Drosophila melanogaster: one gene and its partner. The protein of the gene in region 1 interacts with the protein of each later gene in a biochemical or structural test. Each region holds a gene or a part of one and is shown in the gene's direction. Other genes may lie near its edges.

Region 1 (7,233 bases):
TGTTTGCGGAAGACCAGAAAAGTGCAATCAGTAAATGATGAACTAATTAGTTACGCGTATGACGTATTGGTTGCTACTCGTAGTTATTCGTAGGAAAATAAAAAGCAATACATGGCGATAGAAAAATGGAGTAATCTTCTTTTTTTCATTTTAAAGGTTTAACCAAAAATGTAGAGATTTTTCGGTCTACTGGCACAATCCGCACTCCAGAAGATTCCATGTTGCATGCAGCCTTTGCTGGAGGCCTCATAATTGGTTTTCACTGCAGTCGGGTGCCAAAAACAGGAGCTGAGCCAGCAGCCAAACAGTCAACAGCGTGGGCATCAGCAAAATTAACTGCAGTCAGGTGGGTATCCTTGGACAAAGCTCCGCTCAATTGGTGAGGAGGAAGCTGCTGTTGTTGTGGCTATTGCATCCACCGCGTGATGCCAGCTAATGAAAATGACCGCCACAGATGACTGTGCTATTATGGCTAGAGCGGGGAATGGCGAATCAAAAATGGAAAGGTCCTGGGCTTACTTTCGCTCATCAATAAGCTCCATTACGTATACGCCGGGTTGGTTTCGCCCATTGCTCAGCCGACAAACAAACTCAGAGCTGTCTGTCAACCAAGTAAGGGGCTGCATTCGACCTCTGCCAATTGAGCGTTTGCGAATTTGTTTGCGCCATGGACCCCAGCATCTCAGTGCAATCAGGCGGAATATATCCCGCTTTGAGCTGGCTGCTTTTGGAATGATAGAAAGTGTTGCCTTCAAGGGAGCCTCAGTTCCTTTCTCTGCATCGTGAATTCTTTTTTCCAGCCCCCTGCTTTGCATACGCGCCACCCACTGGGCTCTTTGGTGGCCTTATTAAGTTGGCGCCTCTATGCAACTGCCATCAGCCGGGAAAGTTTTTCGCATACCTTCGATGGTCTCGGTCCTTTTTATACGCGGTATATTACCCAGTTAGCTGAATATTCTTGAGTTATATACGAAAATAATAAGAAGCAAACATGATTTATCTCAGATATTTCTGGATGTATTGTCTCAATGCGTTACTGCTGTATTTTTTTGCACTTCAACTACAATTATTTTGATATCACTTTCATACAAGCAAGTAAGACTCATTCTGATTTGTTTAGCCAATTGGGTCGATTGAGCAGGGTAACTTTTGATCGACTCCAGTTGAAAGCTCTTCTACATATTTTCACTCGCTCCAGTTTGTTGGGGTTGTCATCGTTGCAACTTCATTGTCAAAGTTGGCAAAGAGTCTTGAAGGGAAAGTTGGAGTGGGAAACTACAAAGAAATGCACAAAAACTGCGTTGTGCAAATACGGAGAACGAGAGTGGCGAAAAACGATGCAACGGTCTGCCAGTTGGGCGCTAATTATATGTAAATAGCTGGAATGAAACCGCCGCTCGAGGTGCCAGATAATTGGCCCTCATGCAACTGCCAAGTATAGTTTACAGCCGAAGTGATCAAGGGAAACAGTCTGCGAAGGAAAAATGCTCAAATTGTCGAGGCGTGAAGGACGACTCTTCTTTACGGTAAAGCTTTTGGCATGACCCCTTAGGAAGAATTAGAGAAATTTAAATGTGGCTACTTTGAGTGCCAAGGACTGTGCCCTAACTTGTTACTTAACGTGTCCTAGGCAATGACTGTTAGCTTAATTTACGGAAACTTAAATGGTACGCAATGCAATAGCAATTAGCTCAAATGCTAGATGAAATTCCTTTGCATTTAGGTCATTAGAGAAGAAAAATTTCATAACACTTCTCGGTGTGCGTGAGAAGGCATTTTCCCCCTTGGCCACTTCTTCTCCCCGGAGACAACATTCAGGACATAGAACAGCATTACAAAATTTCCCCAAAAAATTCGTAGAAATGCCAAAATAAACGAGTGGGATCGCTGGAATGAGATGGCGCAAGGTAAGGATGTGGAGGATGCTACCCACATGAGCGACAGTAACCAACACGTACAAAACGCATAAACATTCTTGCCTAAGTGAGTTTGTACATAAATTTCGAGCAACTTGCGTTGCAGGATGCGTTACAAGGAGACGATTTTGTGTGGGTCTCAGGATCTGTTTAAAGGGAATGAAGGGGGAGACTGTAGCAGTCTACTGTGAGTAGAGCTAAACTTACGCAAAAATCCATGGGAAACCAAGTGAGTTTTGAAGTTTAGACGGTTGGCTCAGTTTCGGTATCCTAATTTATTTATGCAGCCCCTGGCAAATGCAACTTTACTTAGGATGGATATCACTCAGCTATTCATCGTGTTAGCGTCAGTGCTTATTCGAAGGTATTCAGATGCAATTGTTTTATGTTCGAAAAATATCTTAACACTAAAAAATTTGTGCTACTAGCGTTTACTTTTCACCTTTGAATTTAGAAGAAAGCTAAGAATTTATGAAGATTTCCTACCAAATAACTAAATAGCATTTATTATTTTTATGACATCAAATTTTTAACTACCCAACTATTTAATACCAATTACCGACTACTGGTGTGTGCAACTTGAAAGCTGGAATTGAAATTATTCAACGAATCATGGCAATATCATTGGCTGTTTGCATTATGCAAGCATACCCGGTCCTTTGATGCTTGATGGCATTTCCCGAGCACCTACACACACGCAGCCGGAAAAGAAGCAACTTTAGTAGCATATTTCACGGCGCTGCGTCCGAAGAGAGAACGCTCTAAAGAGCACCGCTTGCCGAAGAGAGAAGCCTTGGGTAAGAGAGACCGAAGCGCACATTACTGACCTACATTAAGTAAAAATTTATTTATGCCGGCTGCCAAATTGGTTCCCCAAAGCATTGGCAGGCCCCGCTGTCCCCTGGTCCCTGGCTTTATGACTATGACGGATATGATTGTTGGTCGGAGTTTCCCTTTCCCCTCCTCGTACTTGCCCACTATTACTGCCTTTGTGGTTGTTGGCTTAAATAATAATGGCTTGTAATTTGCATAAATAATGTTTGATTTTTGCATTGATGAGGGAAGAGTGTGTTCCGCGTGTGTGTGTGTATTTGGGGAATTTTAAATGATTGAAAGCTCGGTCATCATTGGGGAATGCCGGGCTAGATGGCACGAAATTTTTGCATTTAAATCGATAAATTAGTGGAAAGAGCTCTAAAAATCAGTATGCCAGGATATGAGTCGTTTGGTCTATTTGGAAGTTGCATTGTAGATTTAAGCCCACCAAATAGGAAGAATAGTTTGCTGCTATAAGGGTCGACTTCGATGCCCCAACAATGGTTTCTTATCCTGCCACAGCACTGTTAACCAGCTAACAGAGCTCTGGCTCTGTTGCTCTCTAACGGGACCTGGTTCTCTTTGCCTTTGGAGTTCGGCTCGCTTCGGCAAGTTCGCGAGTGCTTGCCGAACTCCACGAACTCCGAGCCGAAGAGCGCTCGGTAGTCGACAGTCGTGACGAATGACGGCGATTATCGCCCTTCGAGGACTTTGTGTAATCAGTGCGTCCTGCTAAGCAAATTAGTTTAGTATGGTTTTAGTGCGCAACGCTGACGGTCGCACCAGTTCGCAGCTCTTAACACGTTGGTGTCGAAAGTCGACGCGCTCGCGTTTCGTCCCTCGCTTGAATTGAATGCCGCGAGTCGCGAGTGCCTGCGATATCATCGGAGGACAATAGCTCAGCACTGTACGTAAGCGGAAGGAATGGCCAGAATTAAATAAATAAATAAGTGCAAGACACAACCGGAGACGCTGGCTGCCAACTTCAATTTGGTACTTCATTTTTCACAGCCCGCTTAACGCAAATTGTGCCGGTCCTGGCTCCTTGCTGGGTACTAAGGTCCTGGTGCATACCCGTGCATTCTCCGCTCCCCTCCCCTGTTGATTGCATTCTTGGCGGCAAGTCGAGCGTGGCTCATTAAATGGCTGGCGAAAAAAAATGAAAGAGGAGTGCCGACTTGCGGAAAAACAATCACAGCATTTCTCTCGGCTGGTAGAGCCTGCAAACGGCATTTATAGAAGGGCCCTAGCGGCGCTGGGAAATTGTGGTATTTTATTCGTTATTTCACTTTGACTGTCACGCCAATTGAATTAATTCCACCGAGGAATTTAGGATTTAATTTGACATTTAATTATTGCAATTAAAAGTGGCCCGCAAAGCGCAGCATCAACAAAAAATGTCGTTTCAAAACAGGATTATGATCAAACAGAACGCAACGAAATTATGAAATTTTGTTTGAAAAAAAATGAATTACTTTCGAAAGTGGTTGACAACATAAAGCCGTGTCACATTACAGCAGCGGTTTGTTATAAAACGCGTAATAAATCTAAGAAAAAAGGAAAAAAGCTTTTATATTGATGAAAGGAAAACTTAAACAACAGGGTCAGAAAAACAATTATTGTATACAATAAAGGTTAACATTAATGGCAAAAGGATACATATATATATATATTTATATATATATATTTGGTTTTTATGCCTTAATAACTTGTTAGCTCTGCCCAATTCTATGATTTGAAACCCCTAGGATATTTTGTCTTTGTATTTTGTATATTAGTATCCTAAAATATCCTTCTCGTTATCAACATAAACAAAATAGCGATTTATTATTATTACAATTCCTTTGACTTCTAGCATTGCCATTGCTAGCTAAAAATATTCAAGCCTGAATGATGTGCTTAACAAATTAAGTTCCATGCAACATGATTTCTTAAGCAACGTTTATCCTTTATTATATGCATTCACTACTTTCGTATATACACATATAATTCAGAAAAGTTTGCGAAACGTCGAATACTTGGTATCAGCAAACTTTTTTGATAACTTTACTTCACTTGTAGCCCGAAAACAGTTTGAAGTGCAGGACGAAAATCACCCAAGGACGAGCTTTAACTAAATTATTGGGAGCTCGCGTCAAGTGTCAGACTTTGGGGGGGAAAATGGAATAACAGTTTGCCTTTGTTGTGTCTACAAATTTGTGGGGCGCTGTTCGTCAGCGCTAATGAATAGGTGGGGAGTTTTGTGCACAATTATCAAATAAAACGGGTAGCCGACCGCACAATTACACACAATATTTTCGCACACGCACCCAAAACGGAAGCCGTATAAACAACATGAATATGAAATTTAGCTGCTAGAAGCATATACATGCACATACATACTATAGATGCACAGCTCGTTGTGGATGGCCGTCCAATAAGCGACATAAAATATGCGAGCACTCACACACACTAGCGCACGCGAGCGAACACTAACACATGCATATGCACATGCGGATGAAGCGCCCGCAGCGAGTGCGGGAAATATTTTATGCACTTTATGCGGCCTGGACGGCGCTTGCTGCTGGGGATCGCTAATTAGGCAATATGCACTTGATTGTGTTATAATCATTAAAACCGGAAATGCATGGCCAACCCACAAAACACAAACGAGCGCAAACGCTTGGCCACACACACACGCGCACACATACGAATATGCGTGAATGCTTTCAGGTGGCTGCAATAGTTCACAGCATACTTTCGCACAGGGCCAAAAAGTGTTTTACCAAAGTTTCGAAATTTCATCACAAGAGTAAATGGGGTCGGTCTCACCATCCTGTCCGATTTTGTTAGTTTCCCATTTCACTCTGATTAATTATTTGGTGAAAAATAATTAAGTCTTTGAGGGGCTGGCAAGGCGTCGGAAAAGCAGCTCGTTCTCCCACAAAATGACGGAAAGTCACATCAATGGCTCGGCGGAAACGGAAGTGCGGGAAAGCAAACACGTGTCGGAAAAATGTCTGCTTGCAACAATGTGTGCTCGTACAAGTATATGTGTGCCAATGCACTTCCGCACACCCACACACCCGCACAGCAGGCGCCCATGTTGCATATGTAAAGCGGCTTGTAAGCTGGCCAATTTTTTATGCATTTATGCATTTTCCCCCGCTGCAGCTGCATCCCGTCCCCCGCTGACCGTTTTTTTTATTAAAGTTGCCCGTTAAGAAAAGCCCAGAAACCGCAGCAACAAACAGGAACGCCCACTGTGCGAACTGCATCGCACGTCCAAACGCCTTTTTGTAGGTTAATCAAATGCAAGACGGGGAAAATGCACAAGCTGCATGTCAGTGGGAAATGCTGCTTGTGGCTAGTTAGTGTGAGCGGGCGTTGGAGCAAGCATTTTGCCATCTTTTTGTGTACGCATTTCGCATGGCTTGTTATATTAAAAGAAATTTCCCAGCTGAGAAGAGACAAGGCAAGGAAAAACAAGCAAGCATCATGGCAACTGACAGCCAAGATGGACGGCTCTGTGATTTGATTTTTATTTCGAGCGATGCACAACAGCAGCTGGCAGTCAGTGGACAGATGAATTATGGCAAATGATGTAAACGCTCCCAGTGGATGTGGCTCTAATTAAACCGAGGGCCAAGAAGCACTCATAGCCCAAGTACTCATTTTCTCCTTTTACAATAGATAAATGACGTTTCGCAATTTCTCAAAAGTTTCGACTACCCTTGCTGGTTGCCTAAAACCAGAAAAAAATATTTCCTTTACTTGCATATTTATTGATTTTCAAGCCACAAGAATTTTTCGTAACGAATAGCTGTAAGTCTTCATAATAGGATGACCAAGAAATGTCGCGTCGAAAAGATAAATATTCCAATTCATCTGCAATCCGAGCAGATTTTGATTGGCACCAAACGCTATAAAAGTTTAAGCTTAATTTAATACATTTTCTGCATATTACCAGCGACAGTCACCAAGCTGCAAAAAAAAAGGAAAAGCACAAAATCCCCACCACCATTTCAGGTGACATAAACAAGCCTTTTATTTGGCATTCTGCTGCAGTTTTTGACACGCGAAAGTAGCAAAACGCTTTCAAAAAGAGAATGTCAAATAAAACACGGAAAGAATGCGGATAAGAGGAAAATTCACAAAGAAAAGAAATTGAGGAAAATATGGATGCAGACGGAACTGAGCGAAAAACTAGCTTTGGGTATATGTATATTAAGCACGAAAAGCTGTCACTCGCGATTGTCTCGACTATTGGATACCTACTTTTTTGTTAGCTTATTGGCGAATAACTTATTAATTCTTATGCGTTTCACAAGTAGCATAAGTACAATAGCAATACTAAACTGGATTTTCCTGTCTCAGTGCTGGCAAAGCTTAATATGATGGGTATGCTTAAATATGCATTGCAAAAATGTAAGCTGCTTTCATTATACCTTTTATACCCTTTGCACAATATACCCCACTCTTTACGATTGGCGGGCACAAAAATGCAGAGTCCAGAGGGAGA
Region 2 (7,233 bases), on another chromosome or scaffold:
ATTAGCCGCTTTCTCTAGTTATTGGATAATAGCCCCAAACGGTGGTAAGGTATAGTAAGGGGTTCCGGGCTTCCAGGGTTCCGGGGTTCCGGGGTATCTGGGCTCCAAGAGGCTTACGCTGAATTGAATTAACGGCCACGTTGTCTGGTCCGGACTGTGGCGTTGTAAATTTCCACCACTGCATCTGATAAACTCGACATGGAGGCCCTCGGAACGTTTCTGCCCGGTAGACGAATCAGAATCGGCATCGGAGGAGGATCTGGGCGAGAAGTGGTGGCCAGGAGGAGGAGGCAGCACCCACACGGCCAACAGAAGACCCAGACGTAGAGTTATTTCAACGAAACAAGAAATGTAAAGCAGACAGGGACAGACAAAACGACTCAGTTTGGCACTGGGAGAAAATAGTAGTGAGTCCTTCAATAAATTCTTTGATACAAAATATCCTTAAGAAAAGGAGTAGCTACAAAATGTATCTGCCTGTCTTGATTGTGTTTCGTATTTACCTGCATATTTCCATGCCATTTGCTTGATATTTCAAATAAAACCAGCTTCAATGGAACGTCAAATGTATTTTAGTTTACTGAACAAAATAACTCCGACCTGAAGTCGTAAATAACAAATGTATGATATCACATATTTAAATATGATTGATATGAATGGGAAAAAAAGTGCATATATGAATTGGACCTTCCTTTTCGACAATTTATGACCATTTTGAAATGTGCTGATTGAGAGGATTACTTATATTTTACAGATTTAATTGGTTTGCCCAGGCTGTTTTCCTATAAATTTATCCTTTTTCAAATAATTAAATAATTTTGATATATTCCATCTCGCTTTTCCTTTGACACATTTTAATGTTTGTTCCTCGGGCGTTGAAAAATGCTTGTATATTTCACTCATATTTCAGTTGCTAAGTAAACAAAAATGGCATCAGATCTGTTTTTTTTTTTTCACTTCTGACACGGTAATAATTTGAATTTGATTTATTTGTATTTATTTATTTGAACTTGCCCAGTCATATATATATTTCTATATTTCTACAATAAATATATTATTTGGAAATCCTTCATTCATGCATTTGCATAGTTGCTCTTGGGGCTAATTGGAAATCCGGGATTTACTTACTAATAAAAGCGCTTTGACTGCAATAAAATACTTTCAAATGGCCAAGCGGAATATACTTTTAAAATCCAAGGGTCCTTTTTAGCAGAAAGCCGTCGATTTTTTTTTTGGCTGTGTGATGGGGGAGTTTATTGCTGCGCTCTGCGCTTCTTGGCACTGCTTGGGTCTGGTCTTAAAAGCGAAAAGCCATTTGTATTCATTTGAAATTAATTTAGCATTCATTCAAGGCAGCGGAAGCCCCTGCAATCCCCCCTTCAGCACCCCAATTGGCCCCGCCCCTGGGACAGCTCCTCCCCCCTTCCGTCTTCACCCTTCTCCCCTTTTTCCCAGTGAGCAATAAATGGCATCGGCGAGCTAAGCAATGGATAAATACGTGTACGTGGCATACATTTCACGGGCGACGACGTCTGGGGGCCATGCCCACTTTCGCTTATCGATAAGCAGTTGAAGACATAGCTCCATTCTAACACCCCCTACCCACCATCCCTCTCCCAATCCTGGAAAGAAAAAACCCCATCTCCCGTGGAGCTGGCAATTGAAACTACCACAATGCACGGGCAACGACAAGGCCTGCTCCACTAATTTTAACAAATTAATTGGCAACAATAAATTCGCTGGCGAAAAGGTGAACAGATAGGATCTCAGCGGGTGGGGCCTATGGCCATAGGCCATGGGTGTGGGCATCCAAGGGGGTGGATAGATTGCTCCACTAATTTGATTTCTTGAATGGCCCAGCAAGCGTTAAGTATCGCACTGGAGTCAATATAAGTCTGCTACCGAGTAGAGTGAGGATTTAATGAACTGTAGACTCCTTATATTTGATCGCGGTATGCTTATGCAATATCTTCAGTAAGTTATAGGATCATGGCCATAAAATTCAAAGATTTGATGCCTTTTTTTAATCGCCTTAAAAACTCAATTTGTAATAGTATCTCAAAGAGTTCGCCTAATCCAACTGATTATTATCAGATTTGATATTAAATCATAATTCTATAATTATCCAGATCGCTTCTTCCTGTGTTCCGTTTGACCTGATTGCGTGCTAACTTAATTATAGAAATTGTAAACTGCTTAGTGCGGCTCTGCCTCCGTTCTGGTCAACTCGATGTATTCCCATTTCAATTGTTTGGTAATGGAATTCTATAATCAAATGTCAACTCGTGGCAACACACACTCACACACACACACACACGCACAATTGGGAGGGTCAAAACAACTTTAATCATTCGTAATGGCCGCTAGGTGGCGTGTCAATTACAGGGCCATTGTCTGTCAATTTTCTGTTGCATTGGCTCGCTGTTTCTCTACATTGCTATCTCATTCGCTCGCCAGCCACCTATCTCTGTCCGTTTGAGTGCGTCTGTCTCTTTCGCCGGCGCCGTGCTCATTTGCATTGCGATGTTTTGAGGCCTACAGGGCATTCCCCAGTCAAGCACACTCGACTTTATCGGCCTTCGACTGGGTGGGCATTTTATTTATGAGCTCGTAAGGCATGCGTTGAAATGCCCGTTCCGAGTTTTCTGAATACGGATGGGTTGCGGGGGTAGTGGGTGTACTTGCGGGTGTACTGGGGAAGGATGGTTGAGAGGGAGGTTGGGGGGTGGCTACGCTTTCGACAGCCACATTTGTGGCCATAACACGCAACATTTGACATGGTCGGCGCAGCAACGACGACGAGGTACAGGTGTTGGTCGTACCCCCAAACACCCATAGACCCCATAAGCCCCTTAAACCCTCTTATAGCCCTTATAGCGCTTTTAGCCTACAGCCTATACCACGTTTTCTAGTCCCTTAACGAAGCCACACAAATCTCTCTCGAGTGCGACGCATGGACATAAACTGAAATTGGCCTATAACTGTCTGTTCAATTGTTTTTGCGCGAATGGAGGGGGCGATGGGTGCGGTACGGTTCGATGGCGTATAAACTAAAAGGATTCCCATGGCTATACCTATGGCTAAACCAATACCTATATATTGCGGTAAAAATCACATTTACATGGCCCGGGTGTAAATCATTCATGTGCGAGAAAGACACAAAAAAGTGCGGGTTGCCTGTGCCCCGAAATGTAGACTATATTAATATGCCAAAACGAAGGCGTCTCTACTACGAATATTCATTTGTACGTGACTATGGAGCATATTAGGTTCGTCTGGCCACGATTTCCACCACTCGGATTTCGATTCGGCACGACTGTTACCAGTCGGTCTCGCATTGAGGCAGGTTGTGCTAATAACCCAGATAGTACAGATGGCGAAAGCCCAAGAGAGAGAGAGAGAGAGAGAGCGAGGGAGAAAGAGAGACTGCGACGGAGGAAGGATGGAGAGCAAAACGATCCGGCTTGGTGGTTAGCTGGAAAACCAAAGTACGACCGAGTCGTGTTGAAAAACGGAAAGCGACGAAATAAAGAAAAGAAAATAAACCCTTGCCTTAAAATAAAACCGCTCATCAGGCATGCAAAGAAAGCGACATCAAATGGATGGCGAATTAATATTTGATATGCTCTGACTTTCGGGGAAATCCTCTCGCATCCACAGAGGTCCTTTTTGTCGTGCGCCTGCGTGGGAGAGCACCTTTCGGAGTCTCGCGATTCGGAGTCGCGGTGCAAGTTCCTTGCGCTCGCCGAGATGGAATCGAAATCAGTTCCAGCACGCGAATCCTGATGCAAGGATGCCCGTGAACGCTGCTCCGTTGTTGCCGTCGGATAAATCACTCATACGGGAAGGGAAGCACCGGGAAAAGGGAAAGTGCTAGCAGAAGCAGCAGGAGCAGCAACACCATCGCCACATAGCATTGTGCCACATTTAAAAATGAAAACAGACGAAGGAATGAAGTGAAGGCAGAAGCCAAAAGCCGTTTAATAACTAAATCCCACGGACCCATCGTTGGTCACGTTCTGAGACGGATACACAAAATGCCTCTCTCCGCGTATCCTTCGAACTTGTGTGTGTGTGCGTCAGTAACTGTGACTGTGTCTGTGTGCTTCCCTCTGTCTCAGTGTAAGTGTGCATACCTATAGGGCTCTGGCTGGCACCTAATGTGGCCAACATACACATACGCACTTTGCCGACTAAACGAATATAATAATACAAAGCACACGTCCTTGTCGCTCAACTCGCTGTCATCGTGTGCGTGCGTGTCCGTGGATCCATGTGTCCATGTGTCCACTTCCGCCGAACGGATATATTTTCGAAATCCGCGCTATTAAGTAAGCCAGTAAGCCAGACCAGAAATAAACCTGTGTTTGCGATTGGGCCACTTTTTTGACCATTGTTGAACCGAATTGATTGGTGAACTGTGACGTTGGTGAATTGTTGCGGCATTGTTGAATGCCAATCGTTATTGTGCAACTGTTGAATGAGCCATGCCAGCAGGCCCGCCTAATTATTGCGCATTGCGCAACCGAATGTCAAAGCCAAGATCGAGTGTAACGCAGTTGTAAAATCACAGAGCTCAAGGATTTTGCCCGTTTGGATTACGCAGAGGATGACGGTGGTGTCATTTGGAAGTCATTGCCGAGACCCGTAAGTGAAGGAATTTAATTTAATGCGGCACAAGGACGAGCTGGGGAAAAACAAACAATAAATAGGGTCCTGGCTGACTGGCCAAACTGCGGTTGCCCTTTGTCCGCCGTTTCCGTTTGACAGGCCTGAAAAGTTAGGCAAAAGAACAACAGAATAATGTTGTTCCCGGGCAGGCAACGCAAAACAAAAAACTTTTGTTTAATTTCCATGGAGAGTCGAAAGGGCGCCGGCATACGGGGAACTGTTCGGCTAGGCGATAATTCCGCTGTAATAGCTGCGAAAAAATGAAGCCCGCCGTGCCAACCTCTTTTATTATTATATTCCCGGGAAAAAAAAACAAGGAAAACCAGGCACCAGGCAACCGAAAAGCCGTCGGCCGAAAGGCCAAAAGTGACCAAAACAAATGGCTTGGTCCTAGGAGCGGACTGCTGACCCTTGGAGTCACGCAGCTAATTGGACTGACAACAAATGTATATTTTTGAGTAATGACCGGGATTATGAAAGACCGCTCTAGGACCCTACCCTTACTGCCCCCTTTCGCCACGAGCTGACTGATTACCGAGTTTGAGTCATAAATAATGAGAGGGACACCCACGACGAGGACTCGGGGGTATCCTGGCACCAGACTGACAAATTCGCCAAAGGGAAGTCGACTGGGAAAGGAAGTCTGTGAAAGCAATATCGAGTTTATCCCGATAAAACTATATAGTTGACAAGGTCGTTTAGCCAGGAGCTCAGCTTGGGGAAACTTTTTAATTTCATCCTTCACGAAGTTTTCGACTTTTGCCTTAGTTTTCCATTCGGTGCGGGGGTATACCCCCTCCACCTCCCTCACACACCATCCTTTTGAGTTCCCCTTGTAATTGCTTTACCCACATTGCAATGCAATATGACTGACTCCCTGCTTTTGGGTCGTGGAAAGTAATCCCCCCCCCCCCACCAACGACCATGAATGCATTTTCTGTGGCGAATCTGAAACGCATTTTCTTGCCCTGGCAACCAAGTCGAAACCAAAAGCTCAGGCTACATCCGGCATTAACCTCATTAACCCGACATTCAGCACAACCGTTTCCCATTTCCCATTACACTGGCCTGCGATGGCTCTTGTTCTGTTAATTGGAATTGTGGTGCAGTGAGGTCCATAAATATGCACACATAAGTCGCCTTGAATCAATAATTTATGCTTAATTGTTGGATTCTGGAAGAGATCCACAGCATAATGGTGTGCGCAATTGGTTCGATTGAATCTGTTTGGGATATTTTGGCTCGTAATATATATAATATAATTATATATTCTTGGCAATAGGAAAACGCAGCTGCCATTTGCCAGGCAACCAGTAATTTGCTGACCCAGTTATAAAGCTAATTTCAACTCGTTTCTATATTAATTAAATTAGATAGCCATAGAATGGTTGCACTTTTTTCAATAAACAAGCCAATTTTGTTTCAGCTTTAATTGAATATTTTGCCGTGCGTAATTGCAGTGCGTAGTTGTGGGAAAAATATTCTTAATAGTTGGTTTTGAATGGAAAACTAGCAACTGAATTTTGTAATTTTGTTTGAATTATATCGAATAATCATATAATTTGCATGAATTTTACTTTATTATTCATTGCTCATTTAATATTTAACGCTGTATTATGGCTAAATTGTGGCACATGTATATATATATATATTAAGTTTATTGTTATTATTCAATCGTTTGGCCATCTCGGAGTAATGAAACGCACTGTACTAAACAATTGCCGTGATGGGTAGGCAATTTTCCGGCCGACGAGAATGCCATATTGACTTGACCCACTCCGCCCAGTAGTAACCGCCCCCCATCATATTCCGGATATATATCTGGCTTTCATCATTTGCCCGGCAAATTACTTTGCCATTCCCCCAGTTATTTTCCAGGCGTGTCCTTCGCCACTGGTACCATAAAAAAGAGCCCTGGTAATAATATTTCCTCCTTTGCAGATTATTAAACCTTAAACCGTAAACGGAGCAAATACAACAGCCGGCAGGAGCGGAGGATTCCTCATCGCCCTCATCGAAGTAGCTAGCAGCCGTAGTAGCAGTCCGAGTGGAGAGCATAAAACATGTGGACAACGGACTGCCCGAGAGCGTTGAAAGCGATTTGCTTGGTGCCGCTGTGGCTGCTCCTCTTCCTCGGTGGGTATTCCTCCATGAAATTGCACGGCGAAAAAATGTAGGTGTAATCTGTTCAGTAATAGGCAATGCAAAAGGAAAAAGGATCAAAGCCGCAGACGGTTTATAGCCTCATAAATCGCTGAGAGTGAATGTAGTTAGTTTAAAAATGTACAGGCTTTTAAGTGCTCTTCACTGTCCTATTCATTTTGTAATAAAAGAGGTATTACTATGTTCCTATAAGTTTATTAACAACTAAAGTAGTTTATATCAGCAAGCGGAAATTAAAGTTAAATATGCTATTTAAGCATTCAAGATCATTCGAATTTGTCAATGTGTCAATGGTCGATTGCACATCTATTTTAATTAAGCCCATTGACACTGATGACAAGAACCGATATGATAGGCTTGATTTAAGCCAAAAGACGCTTTCAGCAGCCTCTTAATCGC

Evidence for each region.
Region 2: the proteins of DIP-theta (region 1) and dpr4 form a complex in vitro, tested with the Drosophila melanogaster proteins (one study listed by BioGRID).

The regions. Positions count from the first base shown.
Region 1 is NT_033779.5:5,654,801-5,662,033, reverse strand, and holds the start of DIP-theta (Dpr-interacting protein theta), read left to right. Parts: upstream 1-3,473; 5' UTR 3,474-3,639; intron 3,640-7,233.
Region 2 is NT_033777.3:11,539,481-11,546,713, reverse strand, and holds the start of dpr4 (defective proboscis extension response 4), read left to right. Parts: upstream 1-3,764; 5' UTR 3,765-4,647; intron 4,648-6,612; 5' UTR 6,613-6,734; coding exon 6,735-6,807; intron 6,808-7,233.